Linked DNA regions of Ovis aries. The protein of the gene in region 7 interacts with the protein of the main gene of each other region in a biochemical or structural test. Links are inferred from orthologs where the notes say so. Each region holds a gene or a part of one and is shown on either strand. Other genes may lie near its edges. The genes, in order: SMARCA2, ESR1, HNF4A, RARA, ESRRG, HDAC3 and NR0B2.

Region 1 (3,500 bases), about 170 Mb from region 7:
CTAGTTTTTTTCTTACCACATTTGAGGGAAGATTTTGTTGTATTGATTAATTCTGGAAAATGATTTTTATTTCACTCTTAGTTTCTTTCTTAGCAACTTTGAGGTAAAACGAATTATTGTACTTAGTACAACTAAGTGTCTCATCCTTATAATTTTGCCATGCCAGGAGACATAGTTGAAAAGAGCGATTTGATGAAGTGTGTTACACAATTACATTTAGATTAGATTGTCTAATGTTTTGGTCAGTTGTATTAGGCATCGTGTGATTTATCACGGGTAAGCTATAATTGGTGACGACCTTAGGAAAGAGGACAGTCCAGAAGGCAGGAGACGTGACCCATTTTAACACCTGGTTGTATCCCTTCTCCCATGAAATGTCAGTAGCTATAGTAGGAAGTTTTTCCTCCAGTGATAGATGCAAAGTTGGCAGAAAGGTGTTAGGGAGGTACTTTCATAATGAACAAACTACCATTTTGCACCAGCATTACAATTTGGAGGTGAATTTTAACCTCGTTAAGAAGGAAAACCGTTAATGATGAAGTTAAGTATATGTTATTGATACTTAAAAATGTTTATTGTTATAAATAACATCCTGGGATTTGAATTTCTGCTCATCTTGCAGATGAGCGGGCTGATTGCAGGGGCATTTTCTTAGGCTAACTTCTGTGATCAACTAGAACCCTAATGCCTTCATGATTTTTGTGCTCGATTACAGAGTAGGGATTTCGGAAATGAGAGTGAGCAGCTTTTCCATTTCTCTTCAGGGCAGGATTACTCAGAATGGAGTTCTACATCTCACCAATTGATAGAACAAAACCTACTCTTGTCTTAGGGGATCAGGCTAAATTTGTTTCCCTCTCCAAATGGCAATTTGAGATAAAAGGAACTGTATCCTTTATTTTCTCTAGTCTTTCAAATGATGATGTTGAGTCCCCAGGCAGCGTGGGTCAGATATTCGTGAGCCTCTGTAATTCCACATAGACACAGAGTGCAGCTTCAGCTCAAACTTGATTAAGTGTTGAAACACACGGCAGATGCCTAATAAACACCTATGTGATGACCTTTAAAATAATTGTGATGCAGGTGGATTTATTAATGGCAAAGACCTTTAATTTAATGTTTTACATTGTGTCTTAGAATGCCTTTGAGTTGATGAGTTAGCCCTCAATTTGAATGGAAGACAATGTTTTGGGGTACAGCAAACCACTCTGTCCTCTCCTTCCTCTTGGATCTCCCTTCAGCAATGTGCAGTCCTATATTTTTCTAGGGATTCTTTGGCCAGACTCCACAGTTCATCTCTTGAAATAAGTTTCTTGAAAATTTTATTGCATTTTGACTTTTCTTTCTTAAGTATTCTTAAGTTTTCCATTTAAGTCTCTTTATCACCCAAACAGATTACTTTCATTTTTATATTACATTGTAAATGGTTCTGGGCTTCCCAGGTGGCCTTAGTGGTAAAGAACCCATCTGCCAGTGCAGAAGACGTAAGAGGCATAGATTTGATCCCTGGGTTGGGAAGATCCCCTGGAGGAGGACATGGCAACCCACTCCAGTATTCTTGCCTGGGGAATCCCATGGACAGAGGAGCCTGACGGGCTACAGTCCACAGGGTCACAAAGAGTTGGACACACCTGAGGAGACTTAGCTTGCAGCACATAAATGCTTCTAGAAGATTTTGGAAGCTTTCAAGCCTTTAACTTATTTTTATATTACTACAACAAAATTAATATTAGACCATGGAAAGAACATATGCCTTGGAATCAGGTGAATCTTGGTTACCAAGATCTAATTGTGTGACATGGTGTAATGTGCTTACTCTCATTTTAAAAAATGAGGCGACAGCACGTATCTTCTGGGAGTGTTGTGAGGACTATAGAAAAAAAAATGTATCCTCTAACTCTTCTTACCATTTCTGTGCTCCCATCATCCTTATATCTACTGGCCAGACCACCATCTTGATTTTGATTTACCGGCATCCACCTTACACACACAGACACACACACAGACACACACACACAGACACACAGACACACACACACACACACAGCATGAGATTAATCTTCAGGCATGCACTACAGCAACTGACTTAACCATACACTCCTTGTTGGCTTCCTTCCCTTATTTTACCTTTCCACACTCTTGTCAGTATCCCTGCACCTTTCAGATAAATCAGCTGCACTCAGTCTTTCCATCAGGCTCTGATTCCAGGGTAAACTTGGCTAAAATAGCATGTACAGTGCCTTGCTTAGTGCCTACAACCATGGAGGCCCTCAATAATGGCAAATTACTCATAAAGTGCATAATAATAAACCAAATAATATCCCCGTAAGAGAGTCCTCATTCTGCACTGCAGTACAGCAGAGAGCTTCAAGTTCTGGTCTCTAGGTTGGAGCTCCTTTTAATGTATAATACTGTCCCCTGTGCCCTTCCTCTAGGTGTACAACAGCCACTACTAGGTCGTGTCACCATCTAGGACACGTGAAAGTGAAAGTGAAAGTCGCTCAGTCGTGTCTGACTCTCTGCGACCCCATGGACTATACAGTCCATGAAATTCTTCAGGCCAGAATACTGGATTGGGTAGCCTTTCCGTTCCCCAGGGTATCTTCCCAACCCAGGTCTCCCGCATTGCAGGCGGATTCTTTACCAGCTGAGACACAAGGGAAGCCCAAGAATACTGGAGTGGGTAGCCTATCCCTTCTCTAGCAGATCTTCCTGACCTAGCAATTGAACCAGGGTCTCCTACTTTGCAGGCAGATTCTTTACCAGCTAAGCTATCAGGGAAGCCTCTAGGACACATCGGGCTATCCACTGCTTGAAATGTGACTAGTCCCATTGGAGATGTACAGTAACTTAATATGGAAACAAAAATGTAAAATCTCTAATAATTTTTATTCTTTGAAATGATAATATTAGGGGTATGTTGGTTTAAATTATATATTATTACAATTTTGTCTGTTTCTTTTAATTTTATATGTATATATATATTTGATATACATAAATTTTAAATTATATATAATCCCATTAAGTTACATGTGCTTTAAATTTCTCTCAGTCAATGCTGTTGTGGAAAATCGTCAGGATCTCCAGGAATGTTTCTCTTTCAGGGTCATGGGGGGCAGCCTGTGACCTCTCCCTTTGTGTTTTATTCCAGGTTACATGTCGCCGCACCCATCTCCGCTGGGAGCCCCAGAGCACGTGTCCAGCCCTATATCAGGAGGCGGCCCGACCCCACCACAGATGCCACCGAGCCAGCCAGGACCCCTCATCCCAGGCGACCCTCAGGCAATGAACCAGCCCAACAGGGGTCCCTCTCCTTTCAGTCCCGTCCAGCTGCATCAGCTCCGAGCCCAGATTTTAGCTTACAAGATGCTGGCCCGGGGCCAGCCCCTCCCTGAAACACTGCAGCTTGCAGTCCAGGGGAAAAGGACGTTGCCTGGCATGCAGCAACAGCCGCCGCCACAGCCCCAGCCCCAGCCTCAGCCGCAGCAGCCACAGCCGCA
Region 2 (4,000 bases), on a different chromosome or scaffold from region 7:
GCTCTATGTGGAAATTAATCTCAGACAATTTGCATATTCAAATTACTTTACAGGCTAACTCGCAAGTGTAGAGAAGATGGAAGGCAATCCTGTGTGTGCATGTGTGTGTATTCAGTCATGTCTGATTTTTTTGTGACCCCATGGATAGTAGCCCACCAGACTCCTCTGTCCATGGGATTTACCAGGTAAGAATACTGGAATGGGTTTCCATATCCCTCTCCAGGGGATCTTCCTGATCCAGGGATCAAACTCCTGCATTGGCAGGCAGATTCTTTACCACTGAACCACATGAGGATGACCATTAAGAGCCTTTATTTTCAAAATGTTTTCAAGCATGGGCTATGAGGATTTTGATTTTCTTTCCTAAGCTGATTTTGAGATGCATGGGTTGCCCTACAGATGTCAACATGCACTTGGGGATTCTAGAAGGCCTAGGAACAAGACAGACCTCTCTTACCTGTCCTCCACCATCCTCACTTGCAGAAAACCAGCCTCCTTCAGATTTGAGTAGAAAAAGCTAACGTGCTTTTAAAAGATCCTTTAAAATACATATTACGTGGGCAAATGAAAAAGTAAACATCCCTCAAACTCTTAAATGGCTGGACGAAAAGCCAGATGGGCCATGGGACGATCAGATGGCAGAGGAACGGCTTCAGAGGCAGAGAGAAGTTAACCTCAGCAGGACACTGAAGTCAAGAACCTAACTGATCAGGGACCAGCAGTGCAAAGCTGTCAAGCCAATGTTGAATGAGAAAGTTACCAAAATGCTCACTGAACATGCATCCTTATTCCTGCTCTGAGCTGTAACAAAATTTATGTGCCCAGTGAATGTTTGATTATTATTTTTCCAACCCCAAATGCCTGTCTAGACTTTAACCTTTATTAGTAGTGAAGAGAAAGTGAGCTGGTATTCATAAAAAAAGAAAAAATATTCAGGCAGATTAACAGATGACTTATACCCTTGTGAAATGTCTGTCTTGACCCAAGTGGTAGGACAGTGAGAATCAGGCCTGGTGTGGAGAAAGAAAGGCCACCCCCTCCTCTATTTTGTACAGAAGACTTTTCCACTCCTAGTCAAATGGTGGTGCTAGTTCTTTAGTTTTGAGTTTTCTGCATTTCCTAATTTCATGGTCATAACAGCCGCTTGTCTACTGCCTCAGAACGGATTTCACCAAAACTGAAAATAAAGGCTCCATGCTCAGAAGTTCCTTAACGGACTCGAAAGGTTAATGTTCCTTTCCCTTGCCCTTCTATAGCGTAAGAAGACAGTCTTTCAGTGACATTCTCCTCCTCAAGCAGGTACTCCTATTTCTTCTTCTCAGCATATATGTATATATATACTTTTTTCTTTTTGTTATATGTGCTACTATTTACAAATGTGATGTAACTTTACAGCTTCCCTCTCCTGTGAAAAGATGTTCATTTTTCTCTTAATGCTCCAGGGATATTTTGCAAAGTTGCTGGCAAGCATTAGTATGACGTTGAAATGTTAAGTCTAAACTTGGTACAGTGAAAAATCCACTTTTCAAATAATATTCAGCTGAGTCAGAGGGCAACCCGACTACCCTTTGCTTAGCACTGCACTGACAGGCTGTCTGCTTGCTCCAGATAACGCCTATTTATTTGATCCAGCTCTAGCTAGGAGGTTTTGGATTATTGAAATGTGGCAGAATTTCAAGAATTATTAATTGGACTGATCACGGGCTAGCATGAACACACTACCTGTTTTCATCATCTCTGGGTGCCGTAACTTCTGTGAGTTGAAACTGAGCAATCTGAATAAGCCATTACTTGTTTCCTGAAGGCAGTCAAGTTTTCTGAAAAGCTACGCCATCTAGCAGTCCAAAAGTCAGCCACCCTGTCTTTAAATTGCCCTGTGATTTCAGGGCAAGTTCTCTTGGGTCTTTCTGCCTCAGTTTGCTCTCCTGTGGAAGAAAGCTCCTGGACACTTTTTACAGGGGGTTGGTGTGTACATAAGTGTCTCCCCGCACCGCAGAGTGCTACTTAAATAATGATGTGGCAGTCACAAAAGACAGGGCAGCGTACTTTCATTTTGGTTAGAGGCATGCCACAGGGTTCAGGAAATGCGCAGTACGTTCTAAGTTCTGTGCTGTGCTAAGAGGGTAACCAGTCTTCGCTCTCTCAGACATGCCCATAGTAGCCAACATAATCAAAAAAAAAAAAAAAATCTTAACGTAAGGATTGAGCTTTATCAGGACTTGGGATCATGGCACTGATTTCTGTTCAAAGAAGCCAGATTTTTTATTGGCTTTCTGGGCCAGATATAACAGACTTGCAAAGTAACTCCATGCACAAGATTGCTGGGAAACTCACCTGGTTTTGAATATTATACACACACACACACACACACACACACACACATATATGTTTGTTTATCTCACTTCTATGATGTATATATGGTGTATATATTAATGTTGAAAGTGAATTTATGAATATGAGGTTGCAGTGTTTGAATTTTATCTTAAAATACCCCGAGAGACGAAATGAAATTAGATGAATACTTATGAGATGTAGGCTTCAGAACCTGTTTCTACTCTATATAAGCCTTTCCTATTTCTCCAAAGCAAATGTTTGCTCCAATTTTGTTAACATCCTATGAAGATTGCCCACTAGGATTTAATGCACGTGACTATACTATTCTAGTGGTTAGATATAACACTGTACAGGGTATTAGGTTTCAAATAAATTGGGAATAAAAATAACATAATCCTTAGAGACAACAACATGGAGGGAAAAAAAGCAAAAATTTTGAATATGAATGTAAGTGCCTTATTTCCTAGCTGGATATTTTTTCTTAGACTCTTGGAGATATTTGTTTTGTTTTATGGCAATGACAGTTGAGGAAAGGGATTAAAGCTTATGTTCTCAAAATTGCAGCAAGAACGAAGTCAAACAGTTATCTTTCATTTCAATTAACTCTGTATCTTTCATTCAGCTTAGGATTTAGAGTTATCGAATCTCTTCCTTTCTGCTAACACCCACTCTCAACCTCTATACGATGTAAATATTTGCACTGCAGTTCTGCTAAACATTCTCATCTGGTTTTCTGTGGCTTCTCTCAGTATTTGTCCATATTCATTTAGTCCGGTTGATCAGTACAACCGCCAAGACTCAGGGCCTGGTGCCTAGGGTTTAGTTTGCCCAAAACAGAGAACAGAACTTGTTCATGGTTGCAGGTTGTACAAAGATTAGTAGGCAAGAATAGAGTGACCCCCAGCTCTGAGTAAATTATCGATATTGGTTGTAAAATATTCATAGCTTAAGTTTCCCTCATAGCGGTTGAGAAATGGTCCTGCCCATTCATGTCCATCATGGCTGTGTCTGTCCTTAATCCCACTGTTGCGCTCCCTGCACAGAGTGTAATCCACTGCTAGTTTTAGAGCAAGGTACTTGTATGTGTTAGTTGCTCAATCGTATCCGACACTTTGTGACCCCATGGACTGTAGCCCGCCAGGCTCCTCTGTCCATGGGATTCTCCAGGCAAGAATATTGGAGTGGATTGCCATACCCTTCTCCAGAGGATCTTCCCAATGCAGGGACTGAACCCTGGTCTCCTGCACTGTAGGAAGATTCTTTACCATTTGAGCTATAGGGAAGTCTTAGCAGGTGGCTTTTGATGAAGGTGATGGTGAGGAAGGTGATCTTGCCTTCTAGGCACCAATTCAGTTGACTCCCTCTGGTTTATTTCCACTGGACCCTGACAAAACCTTGCACATCAGTGAGTTTATGATTCTTTCTAAGGAGTGTAAATTTTTTTTCTTTCTCACTCTGAGACAGAGTCAGGATGCCGAGGCTTGCGTTATCCCTGTGTGCATGCTAAGTTGCTTCAGTTGTGTCCAACTCTATGAGACTCTATGGACTGTGGCCCACCAGGCTCCTCTGTCCATGGGATTCTCCAGGCAAGAATATTTGAGTAGGTTGCCATGCCTTTCCTCAGGGATCTTCCTGGCTCAGGGATTGAACCCGCATCTCTTAATAT
Region 3 (3,500 bases), on a different chromosome or scaffold from region 7:
GCATCCCCTGCACTGAAAGATGGAGTCTTGACCACTGGACTGCCAGTGGGGCCTTACCTGGGAGTCAGGAGCCCTAATTCCACATCATGGATCTGCCAACAAGTGGTTCTGTGGTCTGGGCCAAGTCCTCTCCTTTTTGTGTGCCTTGGTTTCCCCATCTGTACGATGAGAAGGTTACAAGGTGCCCTCTTGGGAGTGTTCCTGAAGTCTTGCCCCAGCACTGCTAGGATTCTCTAGGTGCCCTCAGGCCACTAGGCCTCCCAGCAAGAGCCCCCGGAGTAACGGGACATTGGGCCCCATCTCCCCAGGCGCTCCAGGTTGGCCCTCTGCCTTCCTGGCATGACCCCTCCCATTGCAGATGCCAAGGGGCTGAGTGACCCAGGCAAGATCAAGAGGCTGCGTTCCCAGGTGCAGGTGAGCCTGGAAGACTACATCAACGACCGCCAGTACGACTCGCGTGGCCGCTTCGGCGAGCTGCTGCTGCTGCTGCCCACCCTGCAGAGCATCACCTGGCAGATGATTGAGCAGATCCAGTTTATCAAGCTCTTCGGCATGGCCAAGATCGACAACCTGCTGCAGGAGATGCTGCTGGGAGGTTGGTGTCCAGCCCGGGAGGGCCGGGAGGTGGGCGGGGCTGGAGGCCGCTTCTCCGAGACCAGCCTCACTCATGCAGAGCTGCGTTCACCTCTCAGCTCCATCACTTCCTCACTCTGTGAAAAAGTGAAAGTGTTCATTGCTCTATCATGTCTGACTCTTTGCAACCCCACGTACTGTCGCCCACTAGGCTCCTCTGTCCATGGGAGTCTCTAGGCAAGAATACTGGAGTGGGTTGCCATGCCCTTCTCCAGGTGATCTTCCCAACCCAAGGATCGAACCCAGGCCTCCTGTACTGCAGGAGGAGTCTTTACCATCTGAGCCAGTGGGCCAGGCTGGGAGAGGTAGCCTCTCAAAGAGACCAGCCTCATGCAGACCTGAGCTCTCTGCTCAGCTCCATGACTTCTTTGTTCTGTAGCTTTGGCCAAATCCTTTTATCTACCAGAGTCTCAGTTTACTCATCAGGAAAATGGGGACAATGGCCTGTTAATTCAGGTGCTGAGAAGTTACCATGTTCCAGTCGCTGTTCTAAGTGCTGGAGGTTCAGCAGAGAACAAGAGTCAGTTTTCCTGGAGGTTGTGTATGAGTGTATATATGAGTGTGTGTGTGCATGCGTGTGCGTGTGTGTGCGTGTGTGTGCATGCGTGTGCGTGTGTATGCATGCATGCCAGTGTATATTAACACTTGGGGTAACAGATGATAATTGAGTATATAATAAAGAGGGCAACTACAAATTTTGAAATAACCAAGTAATACAATAGAGTATAACTGAAAGGGGGCCTCTTTAGATAGGTTGGTCAAGGAAGACCTCTCGAAAGTGGTGGCTTTTATGCCACAGATCTGATGGAAGGAAAGAGAACATTTAAAAGCCAAACAAGAAACACTCCTAGCACAAGTAACGAGTGCAAAAGGCCCCAAAGCAGCAGAGGTTTGTGTGTTGGAGAAAGATAAGTTTGTGAGGCAAGAGGAACTGTATGAAATGAAGACAGAGATTGGGAAGAAACCAAATCATAAATATAGTCTTAGAGGCTATGGTTAGAGATTTGCATTGTATTCTCATTGCAACTCTTAAAAGAAAAGTGGAAAATCAGACTAATGTTTTCAACAAACTATCCCAATGGTGGGTAGAAACTGAACATCAGAGGGAAAATGGAGACCGGAAACCCCTGAGAAATGTCACTGTCTTCAATGAGGGGAAGGACAGGGAGGCTTGGACCAAGGCATGACTGGAAATTGATCAACACAGATGCACTTGAACATCTATTTGGAGGAAGAACTCACAGAAGTTGCTGATTGATCAGACAGGGGCAATAAGGGGAAGGGTAAGAGTCAAGGATGAAACCTACATGTTTGATTTGAGGAACAGGAATGGTGGTGGAGTAATTTATTGAGATGGGGAGGACTGGGGGGAAAAAACTAATTTGAGACTGAGGGTGGGGGTAGGGGGTAAAGATCCATTGTAGAATTTAGTGAAGTGTGAAATGATTGTTGAATAGTCACGTTGAGTTATCCAGGAGGCAGATAATATTTGTTGCTCAAACAAGCCCAAAGTTGGGGATAAGAGTCAGCTTAGTGGTGTCCCAGAAACCAGGTGCCAGAGAAGGAAATGGAGGAAAGCCTAGCCAGGAGGATAAGAGAAAAGCCAAGGGAAGTCCCAGAAGCCAAGAGCAGAGTGTGCTTTAGTGGGGACAGAGCATTTAATGGTGTTAAACTCCACAGGAGAGGGAAGGGGGCTCTCGGCGATTGTGTTGAGAGCAGTGTCAGTGGGAAAGGAAAGCAGGGGAGGTGTTGCAGACGGAGTGAGCTGGAAAGTGGAGAAGTGGAGACAGCAAGAGTCAACTGCCTTTGGAAAACGTTTTGCTCAGAAGGGAGCTGGGAGGGAGCCAAGGCTGATCGCAGGGGAGTGATTGTGATGATGTGCCGTGGAATCTCGGCTGGACTAAGACGGATGAAGACAGGTGGCAGTCAGTGAAGAGTGGGGGCCAGTGAAATGACAGCCTCAACGGGGCTGAAGAATGTTTGCAGTGATGGTGCTAGAGGAAGCCAGCCGGAAGGATAGGAGGCAGGGTCTACATAAAGATGCTTGAACGTGAGACTTTGGAGGTGACGTGATCACTGGTGATGGCCAAGGGCAAGGTCTCTCAACCTCAGTGGATTCTTGGGTCTGAGTCATTCTTTGCTGAGGGGGCTCTTCTGTGTCTTCTTTGGGCACATGACTGGCCTCTACCCGTGATACGCCAGTAACACTCCTTCAGTGGTGACAGATACTCAGATATTGTCAAAGGTCCCCCGAGGGGCCAAAATCACCCCTAGCTGAGAACCACTGTCACATGGTAACTCACTTCTTTCTCACTTTGACCCTGTGAATGCAGGGTCACCGTGAGTCAGATGTCCTGAGGCTAGGATCAGCAAGGAGCCTGTGTCCTATTGCCAGATAAACTTTGGGTAAAATAATTCATCTCTTTGGGCCTTGTCATCTCATCTGTAGAATGAGGTTAATAATGATACCTGGCCTTTAGGGCTGTTGTGAAGGTTAAATTATGTCAAACCTGGAAAATGCGGGAACACAGTACCTGGCACATAGTATGTTGATAGCTATCATTGAAACAGGTGTACTTTTAAATCTTTTTCTCTATTTATCTGTTTGGCCGCATCGGGTCTTAGTTGCAGTATGCAGGACTTCCGTTGCATCTTGTGGGATCTTTTGTTCTGGCATTTAGGCTTTCTAGTTGTGGTGTATGGACTTATTTGCACTTCCCAGGTGGCTCAGTGGTAAAGAATCCACCTGCCAGTGCAGGAGCCTCAGGAGATGCAGGTTTGATCCCTGAGTCAGGAAGAACCCCAGAGAAGGAAATAGCAACCCACTCAAATATTCTTGCCTGGAGAATCCCATGGCCAGAGGAGCC
Region 4 (2,830 bases), on a different chromosome or scaffold from region 7:
TGAGCGGGCTTCTCTGCTTCTTCAGACCGGCAGGACCTGGAGCAGCCAGACAGGGTGGACATGCTGCAGGAGCCGCTGCTTGAGGCACTGAAGGTCTATGTGCGGAAACGGAGGCCCAGCCGCCCACACATGTTCCCCAAGATGCTGATGAAGATCACAGACCTCCGGAGCATCAGTGCTAAGGGTGAGGCTCTCTCCCTGTGTGTCTGCCATCCATGTCCAGAGTCAGGCCTCCTGCATCTGAGCCAGTACCCCACATCTTTGTGCCCATGTGATGCCCCACTCACCTGGACCCCACCGTGCCCAGGTGACCTCCCTGCCTGTGAGCCCCAAGGTGGCAGTGTCATCTTGGCATGCTAGTTTAGGGCATGGCTCTGGAACCAGACCATTGTGTGTCCTTGAGCGGGTCACACGACGGCTCTGAGCCTCAGTTACTCATCTGCAGAGCAGGGATAACATTTACGGAGTTGTCTTGAGATGTCAGTAGGAGAGTCAGCAGCACGTAGGAAGGGCCTGGCATCAAGCCCAGTGACCCCAGAGCCAGAGTTGGGAGCTACTTTGCCCTGCTGCCCTTCAGCTGTCGGGGCTGAGGAGAGCTGGCTTAGGTCAGAAAACTGAGTGCAGGGTTCGGTGTGTGGCGGGAGCTGATACTGGTACTGTGGATCCTCCTACCCCTTGCATGCTCCCTCCTGGGGCCAGGCTTGCGTGCAGGGCTAGAGGAGCAGGGTGGGCCCACTGACCTGTTCTCTCCTGCAGGGGCTGAGCGGGTGATCACGCTGAAGATGGAGATTCCGGGCTCCATGCCACCTCTCATCCAGGAAATGCTGGAGAACTCAGAAGGCCTGGACACTCTGAGCGGACAAGCGGGGAGTGGGGGGCGGGATGGGGGCGGCCTGGCTGCCCCGCCCGGCAGCTGTAGCCCCAGCCTCAGCCCCAGCTCAAACAGAAGCAGCCCGGCCACCCACTCCCCGTGACTGCCCTTGCCCGGTGGACACAGCCCTCACCCCGTGCCCTGGCTTTTCTCTGCCTTTCTACCAACCATGCAACCCCCGCCAGCCCTGCGCCCCACCTGTCCTCCCTTGCCCGGGGGACTGGAGGGAGGAGGTGGCGGCAACTCTTCAGACAGAGACCCGGGCCTGCGTTGGACTGCCCGCTCCTGGAGCTTGGGCTGACGTCAGGGGCGTGGCCGTGGACTGAGTGAGGACCCCTGGTCCCAGGCCTTGGGATGGGGCCTGGGGGCTTCGTGTTCATCAAGACACCCTTCTGCCCACCTCGCCACATCTTCATCACCAGCAAATGCCAGGACCTGGCTCCCCCATCCTCAGAACTCTCAAGCCATTGCCCCCCGGTTGGGGAACCCCCCCTGCCTCGGTTGGTGACAGAGGGGGTGGGCCAGGGGTGGGGGAATCCCCTGTACATACTTTGCCATACCAACCCCCAGGTATTAATTCTCGCTGGTTTTGTTTTTATTTTAATTTTTTTTTCTGGTTTTGATTTTTTTAAATAAGAATTTTCATTTTAAGCACATTTATACTGAAGTGTGCTGTGTATTGGGGGGAGCTGGATTCAGAGCTGGAGGGGGGGGTGGGCCCTGGGGGAGGGGAGTGGCTTGAAAGGGGCTTCCCCTCTCTCTCCAAGTCCCTGTGCCCCCCAAGGCCCCCTCCCCAGCCATTTCCTCCTCAGTTTTCTCTTTAAAACTGTGAAGTACTAACTTTCCAAGGCCTGCCCTCTCCTCTCTCTCTGCCTAACCACTGGGCAAGGACAGTTTCCCAGCAACCCCTGGAAGGAGTGGCTCACCCCCGAGATGGGGCTGGGGCAGAGCACCGGGGCCTCAGGACCTCCAGGCATGTGTCTCTCTGCCCTGTGTCCTCAGCGTAGCTGCTTCCCCATCAGAGCCCACGTCACCGAAGCCCTCCAGCGCTCCCCTCCCCGTGAAGGGGCTGGCCAGGGGGTCCAAGCTCCCCTGCCCTCCAGCCTCATGGCCACCAGCACCGCCCACAGGGCCCCCAGACACACACACACACACACACACACATGCACACACACACAGTGGACAGACAGGCCGACAGACACGGAGCCTGAGTTCCTCCATTTCCCTGACCTGCCCCCCCACCCCACACCCGTGCCCCCTCCTTGCCCCGCAGGACGGGCCTATAGGGGGTCCCCTCACTTCACCCCTGCTCCCCCGGGGCTGGGGGAACTGGCTCTGCCCTGCCCTCCTTGCCCCGGGGTTGGGGGTCTCATCCCCCCCAGAGCCCGCTGGTGCACCTGTTACTGTTGGACTTGCCACTGAGATCTACTGGATAAAGAATAAAGTTATATTTATTCTACACATGCCTCAGAGCCTCGCTGCCTCGCCGCCTTCTTTCGGTGTCCGGGCAGGGACTGGGGCCCAAGCTGCCTTCGGGACCTGCCTTGCTGTGCTCAGAGCTCTGGAAACGCTGGAAGGAGACAGGCCTGCCCTTAGGAAGCCCTTGGTCTAGGGGTCTCAGCCTGTCAGGGACCCATGTAGAGAGGCAGGAGGGAGAGAGAGAGAGACCGCCTCAGCCTTCAGGGAGTCCCCAGCCCGAGAGAGAAAGCCACCTCAGCTCTCTGAGAGTCCCTAGCCCTTGGGAAGCTGGAGCTTGAGTCAGAGTCATTTAGTGGCAGAGTTCTATCTTTAGTGGCCGCCGATGACCTTCACAGCAAGAGTGGCAGTTGGCCCGGGGGGCTTGAGTCAGGGGCTTGCTCATTGCAATCTAAGAAGACCTTAGGATTGGGATGGAACCTGGGAGGCCGGCCCACTTGTTCTTCCACCTCCAGGAAGAACTGTCCCTGTCTCACCCCTAAC
Region 5 (4,165 bases), on a different chromosome or scaffold from region 7:
AGCAGTTATCTCTTTGCCATAAATAGCTGGTAGCTATTACCATGTACATTTGCTAGTATAAAAAGATCCCGTATTTAAAAATAGGACTTAAGCAAACTCTTTGTTATATGGAAACTAAAATCAGGCTTATACACTATTAGAGAAAAAACAACCTTCTCTTCTTATATTCTGTCTTTAAAAAGCACTTCTGTTTGAAACTCATGCTTATAATGACCAAACTGTGTGATGATTTACGAAATGTTTCTGAGTTGATTTTTTAAAGCATTCAGGGTGTGTTATGTATAATTGACAAATACATAAACTACATTTTATTTGAAAGCTGATGTTTGGGGTAAAAATCATATGTGTTTGTATATGTTTCCCAGTTTGGAAGCTTGTATTGAAATAAATGTATGACTAAGAACACTTTCAGTGCGCTGGTTAGCACTGCTTTCCCTACAGGGAAAAAAAAAAAAATGCAGTCTTTATTTTGTCAAAATGCACTGAGACGTTTTCAATGCACTAGCTACCCAGCAGCCCTGTCTCCTACTCCTGAAACTGGAGGAGCCAATTTGTCCCGCAGTTGTTTTATCTTTGTTTTGAAAAGCTATACATTGTATATCTATAGGTAGAGAGAGGGGGAGCAGGTAAAGAAATATTTACATATAGAATTTACATAGGCATTTTCGAAAATTGCATTGAGGCACTCTCCTCTTCTGTAGTGATGTAAAACTGCAATCCACCTCAGAGGACGATTCCCACTTCGCATGCTCGAACAATTTAGAAGTCATATCTTGGATTTTTTTTTTTTTAAATGCCCAGTCTAGATCAGAGAAACAGACGACAACACGATGACGGATCAATGAGAAAGTACAGCACTCAATAAGCAGGAGCCCCCTCCCCGGTGGAATCAAACACAGACAACGGCAGGACAAACTTCATTCTCTACCTTCCGCAGAATCCTTTCCCAAATTAACTCTGAGAGTCTGCGTGAGTTCTTCTGGGCAAGGCAAAAAGAGATCTTGGGTGAGAAACCCAAGACAGATCCCTCCGGGGCTTGGAGGGTTAAATTAGTTAGGTTTCTTTTCTAGCTTCCCACGGGAGGAGAGAAGAGAGAAAAAGAAAGAGCAAGCAAGCGCGGGCCTGGCGCAGTATCTGCCCGGAGCGTCCGGATCTCTGGTCCCCGCTCCCTTTTCTCTCGCGCTCAGTTTCTAGCCGGGTCGCGTCTCTGCACCCTTCGTACCTGCCTGGTTCCGCGGCTCCTCGCAGCCTCCCGTCGCCTCCCTCCTGATTGGGCAGCCGCCCCCCAATCGGCTGCGCGCCTGGGCCGGTGGGACTGCATATGTTAAGCTCTACTTCATATTAATAAGCTCCAATCGGGGCTTTAAGTCCTTGATTAGGAGAGTGTGAGAGCTCTGGTCCCAACTGGCTGTGCCTATAGGCTTGTCACTAGGAGAACATTTGTGTTAATTGCACTGTGCTCTGTCAAGGAAACTTTGATTTATAGCGGGGGTACACAAATAATGGTTGCCGGTCGCACATGGATTCGGTAGAACTTTGCCTTCCTGAATCTTTTTCCCTGCACTACGAGGAAGAGTAGGTACCTTTTTCTTTCCTTTTTAAAACTCGTCGTGGGGGTGCGCGTGTTTGTGTGTATGGCGGGGCGGGGGGGGGGTGGTTTGGGGGGTGGACGGAATGGATCTTGGCGCACTGAATCAGGTAATGTCCTGGGTATTTCGTGTGCACGAGTGCTTGTTTGTGTCTGTCTTGTGCCTTTTGTGTTGAGGGTGATCTCCTAATTCAGGAAGTCGAGAATTGTTCTCTGACTACAATGTTACCTTTGAGGCAAAGCTCAGTGACTGTCAGTAAAACAGCTGTGTGACAGTCACTTCTTATTCAGGTGCTAAGAATAGGCACTTGGCACAAATGCTTAGTGAACTGTTAAAATGCATCTTTTACTAGGACCCATTTTCCCAAGGAAAGATGTTTTAAAATACAATATTCAAAATGATTTATACTATTGAGTGCCTCTTATGTATTTGCAGCTTGACAGATATTTTCAGCTCCCCGTCATTTCTTACCGCTCAGAGTTAGAGGCAAAATTGCACATTTACTAATTCTCCTTCAGAGAACAATTTAAAAACTAGCCCTATGCAAGCCGGGGCTAGAATAATGTTATTTGCATGGTTAGCATTAAGTCAGCACTTAACTGACAAATCAGTCCATTAAGTAACATGAGATTTTTCACACGCTATAAATATTTAAAGGGAGAAAAAAAAAAAACTAAACTAAAGAAGAAACAGTAGTGACTTTTTAAATTTCTCCTTGAACAGACGATGCTGAGATTGTGGATTTGTTTCGTGTATCATGTCCAGAAAATGCAGAAAAGTACTTTTGTCCTTAGATGCAGTTTCATTCATATTTATGAATATCTTTATGCCCATGGAAATATACATATTTGTATTGCTCAGGGTCGGGGGGAAGTGAGTAGGGGGTAAAAGGAGTAAATCAGGCATTCTTGGGTAAAAATGAGTAGGTCGTAAACTTAATTTCAACCCACTGTTAAGATAAAATACTAGTTTATCACAGTAACTGTCACTGGTTCCTCTTTCTGTTGAGTCAGTTATATGGCTTTGCTTTCCCATTACAGTAATACCAACTGTTATAATTCTGAAAAGAGTGCTCTTGGCAAACAGTTCTCCCTAGATTGTGAAGAAAACATAAAACCCTCGAGAGGAGGAGGTCATGCATTATAGGTAGATGTCCACTAGCGGTCCTTAGTGACTGCATATTGCCTTGCTTTGTAATTAAGCAAGAGATGAAAAGTGACTTGCAGTCTCAGTGGCTCCTCATATGTTTGAGTGTGTGTGTGTATGCCTGTCTGTAGATGTGCTTGCACGCATACACACTCACACCAGGGATGTTAGCCCAGGGATGGACTTAGGAAGAACCGAAAGATTGGAAGGCAGTGCTTGCGTCAGTTGCAAATGCTCCAAGGAAGAAACCTTAAATTGTGTGAAAATAAAAATGAGAAATAAACAAAGGTAGGACTGCCCACTCAAGTGGAGTTTGAAGGTTAGTACACCTGAGGCTGTAGCACTGGAGAATTTAATACACCTTCATGTCAGGAAGAATGCATTATCCAAGCTCACCCAATTCAGAACTTTCTCTCATAAATAAATAAACAAAACAAACTTTAAAAATCTGCCTTCTTCCCCTAGCCTTCTTTGTAAAATAGTTTCCTTGAATTTAACTTCTTATAGCTAATTTGAATAATTAGTTTCGATAAGCCTCTTAAAGCAGATGTATTTAAATGAAATCAGGACACATGTCCTTTTGGCTTTGGCGCAAGATTCAAACTAGCTTTCCTTTTTGGCTCAATTAAAAGTCATCTTTAAAAAATACAGATTTATTGTTTGGATGCAGCTCTGATGGTTACGTGGTTCACTGGACAGACAGAAAGATCTAATGCTTAGTAACGCATCTGCCTCTCTGTCTCAATTAATAAACCACAGAATTTATACATGCTATTAATATTCATAGTAATTGTGCTGGGTTAAACCCCATCACGTGTGTGTATACACAGAAATGAAACCAGAGTTATGCAGTTTCAGAGGAGAATATTGGACAATTTCTGCTGTGGAGGCTGTTGAAAAGATTCCTTCAATTTATTGACCACCATTAGGAGAGCCTAAAATGTTAACCTATAACTATGTTGTTTTTTTTTTAATTTTGGGAAATGTGCCAGTGCATTAAAGAGCATAATACTTGAAAGCTTGTTTCACATTTAATAGCAGTAATAACTGATAGCATAAATAGATGAAAATAATATATCTGCTCATTTTGACATATGTGTCAGTCTAATCATTCTAAATGAGTGTGCTCATCACGGTTCTCTTTCAACCTCTGATTAAAATGTAACATTGACTACAGGATTATAGAGCGGACTTAATTTTACTGACTGTTTTAGCAGTTGTCACAGCTGTTGGAAGAAGGAAAGGCAATTGAAACACTCCAAAACAGGCAAGGCTAGGAGGGAACAGTTTAGTATTTGAATTTCAGCCTGATCATGAAAATCCAGACCTGATCATGAAAATCCAGACCTCAAAAATTAAGCAGATTTGTGTTTGTTTTTTTAAAATTCCTGTTTGGAGCTATGCAAGTTTTATTTTGTAAGGTTTCCTCT
Region 6 (3,500 bases), on a different chromosome or scaffold from region 7:
AACTCCCATGGAGTTTACAGTTCAGCCTAGGAAACAGGCAAAACTATAAGTAAGCAAACAAGATAGGTAGATTGTTATAAATTCTATGGAAGAAAAAGATAGAAAGCTAAGATATGGGATAACAGTGGAGAAACTACTTTAGATACCATGATTTGGAAAGAATTTTCCAAAATTCTGAGCTGAGACCTGAAGCCTAAAAGGAGTGAGCCATAAGAAGAACAGAGAGAGGTCCATCCCAAGCGGTGAGAAGAGTGCATGCAGACACGCTGAGACAGGGCAGAGGGGTATCGTGGAGGAGATGAAGTAAAACCAGTCAGGTGGAACACAGAGAGCAGGCTGGAGGTGGTTTGAGGTGATGTCTGAGAAGTCGGCAGCATTCGGGTCATGCAGAGCCTTTAGACCTTGCTAAGGAGTCTGAATTATATTTCAGATGTGTTGGGAAACTGTTGACAGGTTTTAAGCAGGGAAGTGACATGATCCAGCTTGAATTTTATTTTATTTTATTTTATTTTATTTTATTTTTTCTGGGCTTGAATTTTAAAGTGACTGCTCAAGACTTCCCTGTCAGTTCAGTGGTTAGGACTCTGCACTTCCTCTGCAGGAGGCATGGGCTTGGTCCCTGGTTGGGGAAGTAAGATCTCACATGCCTTGTGGCACCGCCGAAAAAAAACCAACTGCTCTGAGGGCTGAATGGAGAAAGGTTTGGGGTGGGGCTGGGCACACAGGAGTGGAAGTGGGAAGACTAGTTAGGGAGCTCTTGGTGTTGTCTCAGATAGGAGGCTAAGTTGGAGGAGGTGGCGGTAGAGAGAGGTAGGTGATGTGAGTTATATTTTGGTGGCTAAACTGACAGCACTTGCTGGTACATTGGTGAGACTAGTTGATTAACAGGTGGGTTGCTAGGGTGGGTGCTAAGCAGGACAGAGGTGAGAGTGCACTTTGTTTTAAATTTCACTGAGACGCAACGTGCCGGCAATAAAGTGCACATATCTCAGAGATATAACTCAATGATTTTCACTACCAAGGTCAAGATACAGAACATTTCTAGTTTCCTTGTGCCTCTTTCCAGTTGGCCTCTAGAAGTGTGTTCTCTGGCTTTTGGTAACTTCCTCCACCCATTCCTCTGGTTTCTTTTAACAGGGAATGTGTTGAATATGTCAAGAGCTTCAATATCCCTCTACTGGTGCTAGGTGGTGGTGGCTACACTGTCCGGAATGTTGCCCGCTGCTGGTGAGCATGCCCCCATTTTTCCTCCTCTCCCTTGTACAGTGTGAGCTAGGGGCTCTCCCTGAGAGATGGCCAGTGGACCTTTCACCCCACTCACTCAGCCTGCCTTGCTCTGCTGGTTTGTTTCAGGACATATGAGACATCACTGCTGGTAGAAGAGGCCATTAGTGAAGAGCTTCCCTATAGCGGTAAGGACCATCCCACACATGCAAGGGGGACCATGCCCCCACAGCAAGAAGGCCATTCTCACAAGACCATAGAATGGCCTGGTTTGAAAGTGGATGGGAAGTTTGACTTTATCAGAGTTCTGCAAACTAAACCCCTGGGCCTAGAGAGGGGAAAAGGTTGAGCAGATGTTATGTAGGGGTTTTGGATGGAAAGGAAAAAGATAGGCAACTCTTGGGACCTGCCTGTGTCTATTTGAGCCATCATGTCTCCTCCTTTTTCCCCAAGAATACTTCGAGTACTTTGCCCCGGACTTCACGCTCCATCCGGATGTCAGCACCCGCATCGAGAATCAGAATTCACGCCAGGTCAGCAGCTTGGAGAAGCTGAGCACAAGGGTGGAGGAGCCCAGGAAAGGTCCAGGATGTGGGAAATCAGAGAAACCAGGGAAGAGAGTCTCAGCCATCACTATCTCTGTTATCAGCTAGGAGGCAGCCCCGGTGAAAGCACAGGCAGTCAGGGTTGGGAGGAGGGACAGTTACCAGCTGGGGGATTCAAACTAAGATGCAAAATGGGACTGAAACTAGGACTGCAGGGACAAAAGGCAGCTACAAGCATTGACATCCTGGGAGTCACTGGGAGCTGCTCATTGTCTATTCCTCATCCCCAACCAGTATCTGGACCAGATCCGCCAGACAATCTTTGAAAACCTGAAGATGCTGAATCATGCACCTAGCGTCCAGATTCACGATGTGCCGGCAGACCTCCTAACCTACGATAGGACTGATGAGGCTGATGCGGAGGAGAGGGGTCCTGAGGAAAACTACAGCAGGTCTGGAGCAGGGTCATAAGAGCAGGGAATTCCAGCAAGTTTTGGGGGAAGTTAAGAGGGAAAAAGTAAGTTAGACAGCATTAGTCTAATTGTCCTCAGTGTACCTTCTTCAGTATACAACCATCCCATACTTTTTTTTCCCCCCGATTTAATGATGTAAGTGACATACATTTATTGTAAAACTTTTCAGTTCAGTTCAGTCGCTCAGTTGTGTCTGACTCTTTGTGACCCTATGGACTGCAGCACACCAGGCCTCCCTGTCCATCACCAACTCCCGGAGTTTACTCAAACTCATGTCCATTGAGTCGGTGATGCCATCCAACCATCTCATCCTCTGTCATCCCCTTCTCCTCTAGCCTTCAGTCCTTCCCAGCATCAGGGTCTTTTCGAATGAGTCAGCTCTTCACATCAGTTGGCCAAAGTATTGGAGTTTCAGCTTCAACATCAGTCCTTCCAATGAATATTCAGGACTGATTTCCTTTAGGATGGACTGGTTGGATCTCCTTGCAGTCCAAGGGACTCTCAAGACTCTTCTCCAACACCACAGTTCAAAAGTATCAATTCTTCTGCACTCAGCTTTCTTTATAGTCCAACTCTCACATCCATACATGACTACTGGAAAAACCGTAGCCTTGACTAGACGGACCTTTGTTGACAAAATAATGTTTCTGCTTTTTAATATGCTGTCTATGTTGGTCATAACTTTTCTTCCAAGGAGTAAGCGTCTTTTAATTTCATGGCTACAGTCACCATCTGAAGTGATTTTGGAGCCCCCTCAAAAAAAGTCTGTCATTGTTTCCACTGTTTCCCCATGTATTTGCCATGAAGTGATGGGCCTGGATGCCATGATCTTCGTTTTCTGAATGTTGAGCTTTAAGCCAACTTTTTCACTCTCCTCTTTCACTTTCATCAAGAGGCTCTTTAGTTCTTCTTCACTTTCTGCCATCAGGGTGGAGTCATCTGCATGTCTGAAGTTATTGATTCTTCTCCTGGCAATCTTGATTCCAGCTTGTGCTTCATCCAGCCCAGTGTTTCTCACGATGTACTCTGCAGATAAGTAAAATAAGCAGGGTAACAATATACAGCCTTGATGTACTCCTTTCCTGAGTTGGAACCAGTCTGTTGTTCCATGTCCAGTTCTAAGTTTCATGTTCCGTGTCCAGTTCTAAGTCCATGTTCCAGTTTCTGTAGATTACAATTGTGCTGTTCAATATTTATGTATAAACACAAGGGCACACATACACTCATTTTCAGTGTTGTGCAGTTTTGTTTTTTTTTT
Region 7 (3,754 bases):
GCCAAGCTGGCCTTGCCAAGGTCCACAAACCTGACATAGCCAAGGACCTTGCCACCAGCATTCACTGCCCAGGCCCCAGCATCCGAGACAGCTGCCTGGGGACAGAGGAGCCATGCAGCTGGCGGCCGAGCAACGTTTCTGTCCAGATCGTAAGTGGGCAACGTCTACAACAGTGAGGTGGGGGCCCAGGTCGTCACCAGCTCTGGCTGCACAACTGGGCCAGTGGGTCCAGGGGTACAAGCAAGGATTTTGGAGTCAGACTGATCTAGGCTCTGTCTCTTTTTAGTGATGTGAACTTGGACAAGTCACTTGACTTCTTTGAGTCTCAAAAAGCAAGCATTTTGCCTCAGAAGGAAGCTCTGAATATTAGAGTGGAAAGTGCCTGGCGCATAGTAGGTGCTCAATAAACAGTAGTATTTCATCATCATTCTGCCAGGGCTTCTCAGCAGACAAGGGCCCTTCAAGAGGTCCAGGCTGGGGAGAGAGAGTTCTTAAGGACCTTATTTTTGCAGGCCTCTCCGCCACCCAGAACTTGGGGTTAGAGGAAGGGGGCCTTCCTCCAGACTGCACAGCCAGGCAAAGTCCTCCCAGCACCCCCAGGATCCTGGCTCCCTTCCCTGCAGCCTGTTCCTTACTAACAACAGGAGCAGGGCCTCAAGGTTAGGCAAACAAGCAAGTGATAAGGCGCTTCCAGGTTGGGCCCTGCGTTCAAGGCTCGTCGGCTCTGGGGCTGGCTCCCCTGCTGAGCGCGAGTCCTGCAGGCACCAATGGGGACACCTGCCACGGCCACCTGCTGATTGTGCACCTGAGGCCTTGGTGCCCTGGTACAGCCTGGGTTAATGACCCTGTTTATCCACTTGAATCATCTGATAAAGGGCAGCGGGGCCAGCGGGCAGGCGGCCCTGTGCCCTGCACCCGCTGCTTCATTGACTGAAGTGATATCGGGGCCACGTGGAGCTCCCAAGTCTCCCTCCCCCACCACTTCCCCCTGGGTCCTGCCAGGGTCAGTGTGAGTTTCTTTTTTTTTTTTTCAATGAACATGACTTTTGGAGTCAAGGTTGTTGGGCGGTTCCCCCCTCCCTCCCCCATTTGGGGATATAAATAGCACCCACAGCACCAAGCCGAGGGTGGGAGAGCCAGCAGGAAGGCAAAGCAGATCCTCGACCATGAGCTCCAGCCAGCCAGGGTCCTGCCCGTGCCAGGGTGCTGCAGGCCGCCCGACCATTCTGTATACACTTCTGAGCCCCAGCGTCAGGGACTGGCCCTCCGTGGCCCCAGCCCGCGGCCGCTGCCTGTGCAGGCAGCACCGGCCTGTTCAGCTGTGTACGCCCCATCGCACCTGCCAGGAGGCCTTGGATGTTCTGGCCAAGACGCTGGCCTTCCTCAGGAACCTGCCGTCTTTCTGCCAGCTGCCCTCCCAGGATCGGCGGCAGCTGCTGCGGGGCTGCTGGGGGCCCCTCTTCCTGCTGGGGTTGGCCCAAGACACTGTGACCTTCCAGGTGGCCGAGGTCCCGATGCCTAGCATACTCAAGAAGATCCTGCTGGAGAAGCCCAGCAGCGGGGCAGGCAGCAGCCAGCGGCCCGATCGGCCCCAGCCCTCGCTAGCTGAGGTGCAGTGGCTACAGTGCTGCCTGGAGTCCTTCTGGAGTCTGGAGCTGGGCCCCAAGGAGTATGCCTACCTGAAAGGGACTGTCCTCTTCAACCCTGGTGAGATCCCAGACACTCCTGGATGAGGGCCAAGGCTGGAGGGGGGCAGGGCTCAGCCAGGGAAAGACGCATTCTAAGGACTTAACAACTGAAATCCCTCTGGGTCCTGATTATCTCCAAATAGCCATCTTGCAAAACAAGCTCAGAGAGGCAAAGCGACTTGCGAAAAGTCACATAGCCAGGTGGGGGAAGAGAAAGAATGGGGACTCAGGTCTACTGATGTCAAAATCTAGTCCTTACTGCTCTGCTAAGAAATTTCCCTGACCCTTAGGGCAGAAGGGGAGGGGAGGGTGGGCAGACTATGCCTCGGTCACGCCTTCATGAGCAGACTGCATGGAGAAGTTCTGAAGATGAAACTGCGGTTTCAGAAAGACCACGTAGAGAAGAGAAATGAAAATGGGGGTGGGGAGGGGGAAGAGGGAGGAGTCTTCGTAAATTTCAGCCAGGACAACAAATAGAGGAAGACTTCTTTGTGATCTGAAAGGCGCTTAGATGAGAAATCATCAAAATGCCCCCAAGGAATGCATGATCAGAGTAATTCATTATAGTAATAGCAAACACTCGCATTACATTTACTGTATGTTAGGTCGAGTTCTAAAGGTTTTATATACACTAGCTCATTTAAACCTCATAACAAGCCTAGGAGATGGGTACTATTATTTGTCCCAGTTTTATCAACGAGGAACCCAAGGCACAGAGATTGAGTAAATTTCCCCAAGGGCACACAGCTAATAAGTGACAGTGTGGGATTAAAAGCCAGGCCCCCCAGGGTCTTACCCATGGCTCTATCCTGCGTCTCCATGAAGGATGGATAAATGAAGTGAAAAATAAATAAATGAAGGAGGTAGTGATGGGGACTCAAAGGCGCCAAGCTGGTGGCCTTGGGTCTTGGGCCAGTCTTGCCCTGTGGTATTGGAGTAGGCCACTCAGCAGCCATCTTTGCCTTCTCTGTCCGCAGAAGTGCCAGGTCTCTACGCCTCCTCCCACATCGGGCACCTGCAGCAGGAGGCGCACCAGGCACTGTGGGAGGTCCTGGAGCCCTGGTGCCCAGCAGGCCAAAGCCGCCTGGCGCGTGTCCTCCTCATGGCCTCCACCCTCAAGTCCATTCCACCCAGCCTGCTTGGAGATCTCTTCCTTCGCCCCGTCATTGGAGACGTTGACATCGCGGACCTCCTTGAAGACATGCTTCTGCTGAGCTGACCTGCTCCAGCCCAAGCAGGGCCTGGGTGGAGGCTGGCAGCGCTGATTTGGCCGGGCTGTCCCCTGGGTGACCCAGTGCTCCCAGAGGCTTCCCCAGAGCAGCTGGCTCCAGCCCAATCAGGTGGGCCCTCACTCAGCCACATCCCACCTTGACCCTCCTCAGTTTGGACACAGTGCTCCAGCTGTCTGGCCAGCCCTTGGTGGTTCCAGAGCCTCTGGGCCAAGACTCCTCTCCCCTCCTGGGGCAGGGTAGAAGTGTCCGCTGTTGGGCCAGGAGTTCTACTGACTTTGTACGGAACTGACTTAAGTTATTGGCTTTTGTAATAAAAGGTGTGACACCCTTGGAACCTGACAGTGTAGTTTGTACACGTGGAAGGGACTGGTTCATCTCCAGAGTCCCCCGGCCCGCCAGAGGAGCCCAAGAGGAAGGAGCTACAAGTGACACACAAGCCAGAACTCAGGAAACTGGAGTTTTGATTTTTCAGGGTGGGATGCTGATTTCATTTCTGGCAGTGAGATTTATTTTACATGGATCTGATCCAGGAGTTAGTATCAGTTCAGGACCCCACACATCCTTGCCCTTATATCAAGGGGTAGGAGTATCCCTCCCTGTTCCTCAAATCCCCTGCTGATCCCTCCCTCTGCTTCTGCCCCAGCCTCCCTCTCACCTCACTGAGAGTCACCAATAAGGAAAATGAAGCAGCCCATTTCCAAATTGAAAGTTTCCGGGAATCTCTGTCGTGTGGGATCATTCACTTCCCCTGTGGCATCACCGACCCAATGGACATGAGTTTGAATAAACTCCAGGAGTTGGTGATGGACAGGAGACCTGGCGTGCTGCAGGCCA

What was found.
Region 1: the proteins of NR0B2 (region 7) and SMARCA2 form a complex in vitro, tested with the Homo sapiens proteins (2 studies listed by BioGRID). The link is inferred for Ovis aries from reciprocal best matches to the Homo sapiens genes NR0B2 and SMARCA2.
Region 2: the proteins of NR0B2 (region 7) and ESR1 form a complex in vitro, tested with the Homo sapiens proteins (2 studies listed by BioGRID). The link is inferred for Ovis aries from reciprocal best matches to the Homo sapiens genes NR0B2 and ESR1.
Region 3: the proteins of NR0B2 (region 7) and HNF4A form a complex in vitro, tested with the Homo sapiens proteins (4 studies listed by BioGRID). The link is inferred for Ovis aries from reciprocal best matches to the Homo sapiens genes NR0B2 and HNF4A.
Region 4: the proteins of NR0B2 (region 7) and RARA form a complex in vitro, tested with the Homo sapiens proteins (2 studies listed by BioGRID). The link is inferred for Ovis aries from reciprocal best matches to the Homo sapiens genes NR0B2 and RARA.
Region 5: the proteins of NR0B2 (region 7) and ESRRG form a complex in vitro, tested with the Homo sapiens proteins (2 studies listed by BioGRID). The link is inferred for Ovis aries from reciprocal best matches to the Homo sapiens genes NR0B2 and ESRRG.
Region 6: the proteins of NR0B2 (region 7) and HDAC3 form a complex in vitro, tested with the Homo sapiens proteins (2 studies listed by BioGRID). The link is inferred for Ovis aries from reciprocal best matches to the Homo sapiens genes NR0B2 and HDAC3.

Annotation. Positions count from the first base shown.
Region 1 is NC_056055.1:70,296,004-70,299,503, forward strand, and holds part of SMARCA2 (probable global transcription activator SNF2L2), read left to right. Parts: intron 1-3,151; coding exon 3,152-3,500. UniProt on the Homo sapiens protein: ATPase involved in transcriptional activation and repression of select genes by chromatin remodeling (alteration of DNA-nucleosome topology).
Region 2 is NC_056061.1:76,487,730-76,491,729, forward strand, and holds the start of ESR1 (estrogen receptor), read left to right. Parts: upstream 1-1,200; 5' UTR 1,201-1,299; intron 1,300-4,000.
Region 3 is NC_056066.1:72,799,991-72,803,490, forward strand, and holds part of HNF4A (hepatocyte nuclear factor 4-alpha), read left to right. Parts: intron 1-358; coding exon 359-595; coding exon of another isoform or gene 596-624; intron 625-920; coding exon of another isoform or gene 921-1,301; exon of another isoform or gene 1,302-3,500. UniProt on the Homo sapiens protein: Transcriptional regulator which controls the expression of hepatic genes during the transition of endodermal cells to hepatic progenitor cells, facilitating the recruitment of RNA pol II to the promoters of target genes. Activates the transcription of CYP2C38.
Region 4 is NC_056064.1:40,344,003-40,346,832, forward strand, and holds the end of RARA (retinoic acid receptor alpha), read left to right. Parts: intron 1-25; coding exon 26-184; intron 185-756; coding exon 757-974; 3' UTR 975-2,330; downstream 2,331-2,830. UniProt on the Homo sapiens protein: Receptor for retinoic acid. Retinoic acid receptors bind as heterodimers to their target response elements in response to their ligands, all-trans or 9-cis retinoic acid, and regulate gene expression in various biological processes.
Region 5 is NC_056065.1:19,381,047-19,385,211, reverse strand, and holds the start of ESRRG (estrogen-related receptor gamma), read left to right. Parts: upstream 1-1,365; 5' UTR 1,366-1,519; coding exon 1,520-1,575; intron 1,576-1,660; exon of another isoform or gene 1,661-4,165. UniProt on the Homo sapiens protein: Orphan receptor that acts as a transcription activator in the absence of bound ligand. Binds specifically to an estrogen response element and activates reporter genes controlled by estrogen response elements.
Region 6 is NC_056058.1:50,376,670-50,380,169, reverse strand, and holds part of HDAC3 (histone deacetylase 3), read left to right. Parts: intron 1-1,137; coding exon 1,138-1,227; intron 1,228-1,353; coding exon 1,354-1,412; intron 1,413-1,677; coding exon 1,678-1,757; intron 1,758-2,063; coding exon 2,064-2,221; intron 2,222-3,500. UniProt on the Homo sapiens protein: Histone deacetylase that catalyzes the deacetylation of lysine residues on the N-terminal part of the core histones (H2A, H2B, H3 and H4), and some other non-histone substrates.
Region 7 is NC_056055.1:240,027,852-240,031,605, forward strand, and holds NR0B2 (nuclear receptor subfamily 0 group B member 2), read left to right. Parts: upstream 1-1,129; 5' UTR 1,130-1,166; coding exon 1,167-1,707; intron 1,708-2,665; coding exon 2,666-2,907; 3' UTR 2,908-3,254; downstream 3,255-3,754. UniProt on the Homo sapiens protein: Transcriptional regulator that acts as a negative regulator of receptor-dependent signaling pathways. Specifically inhibits transactivation of the nuclear receptor with which it interacts.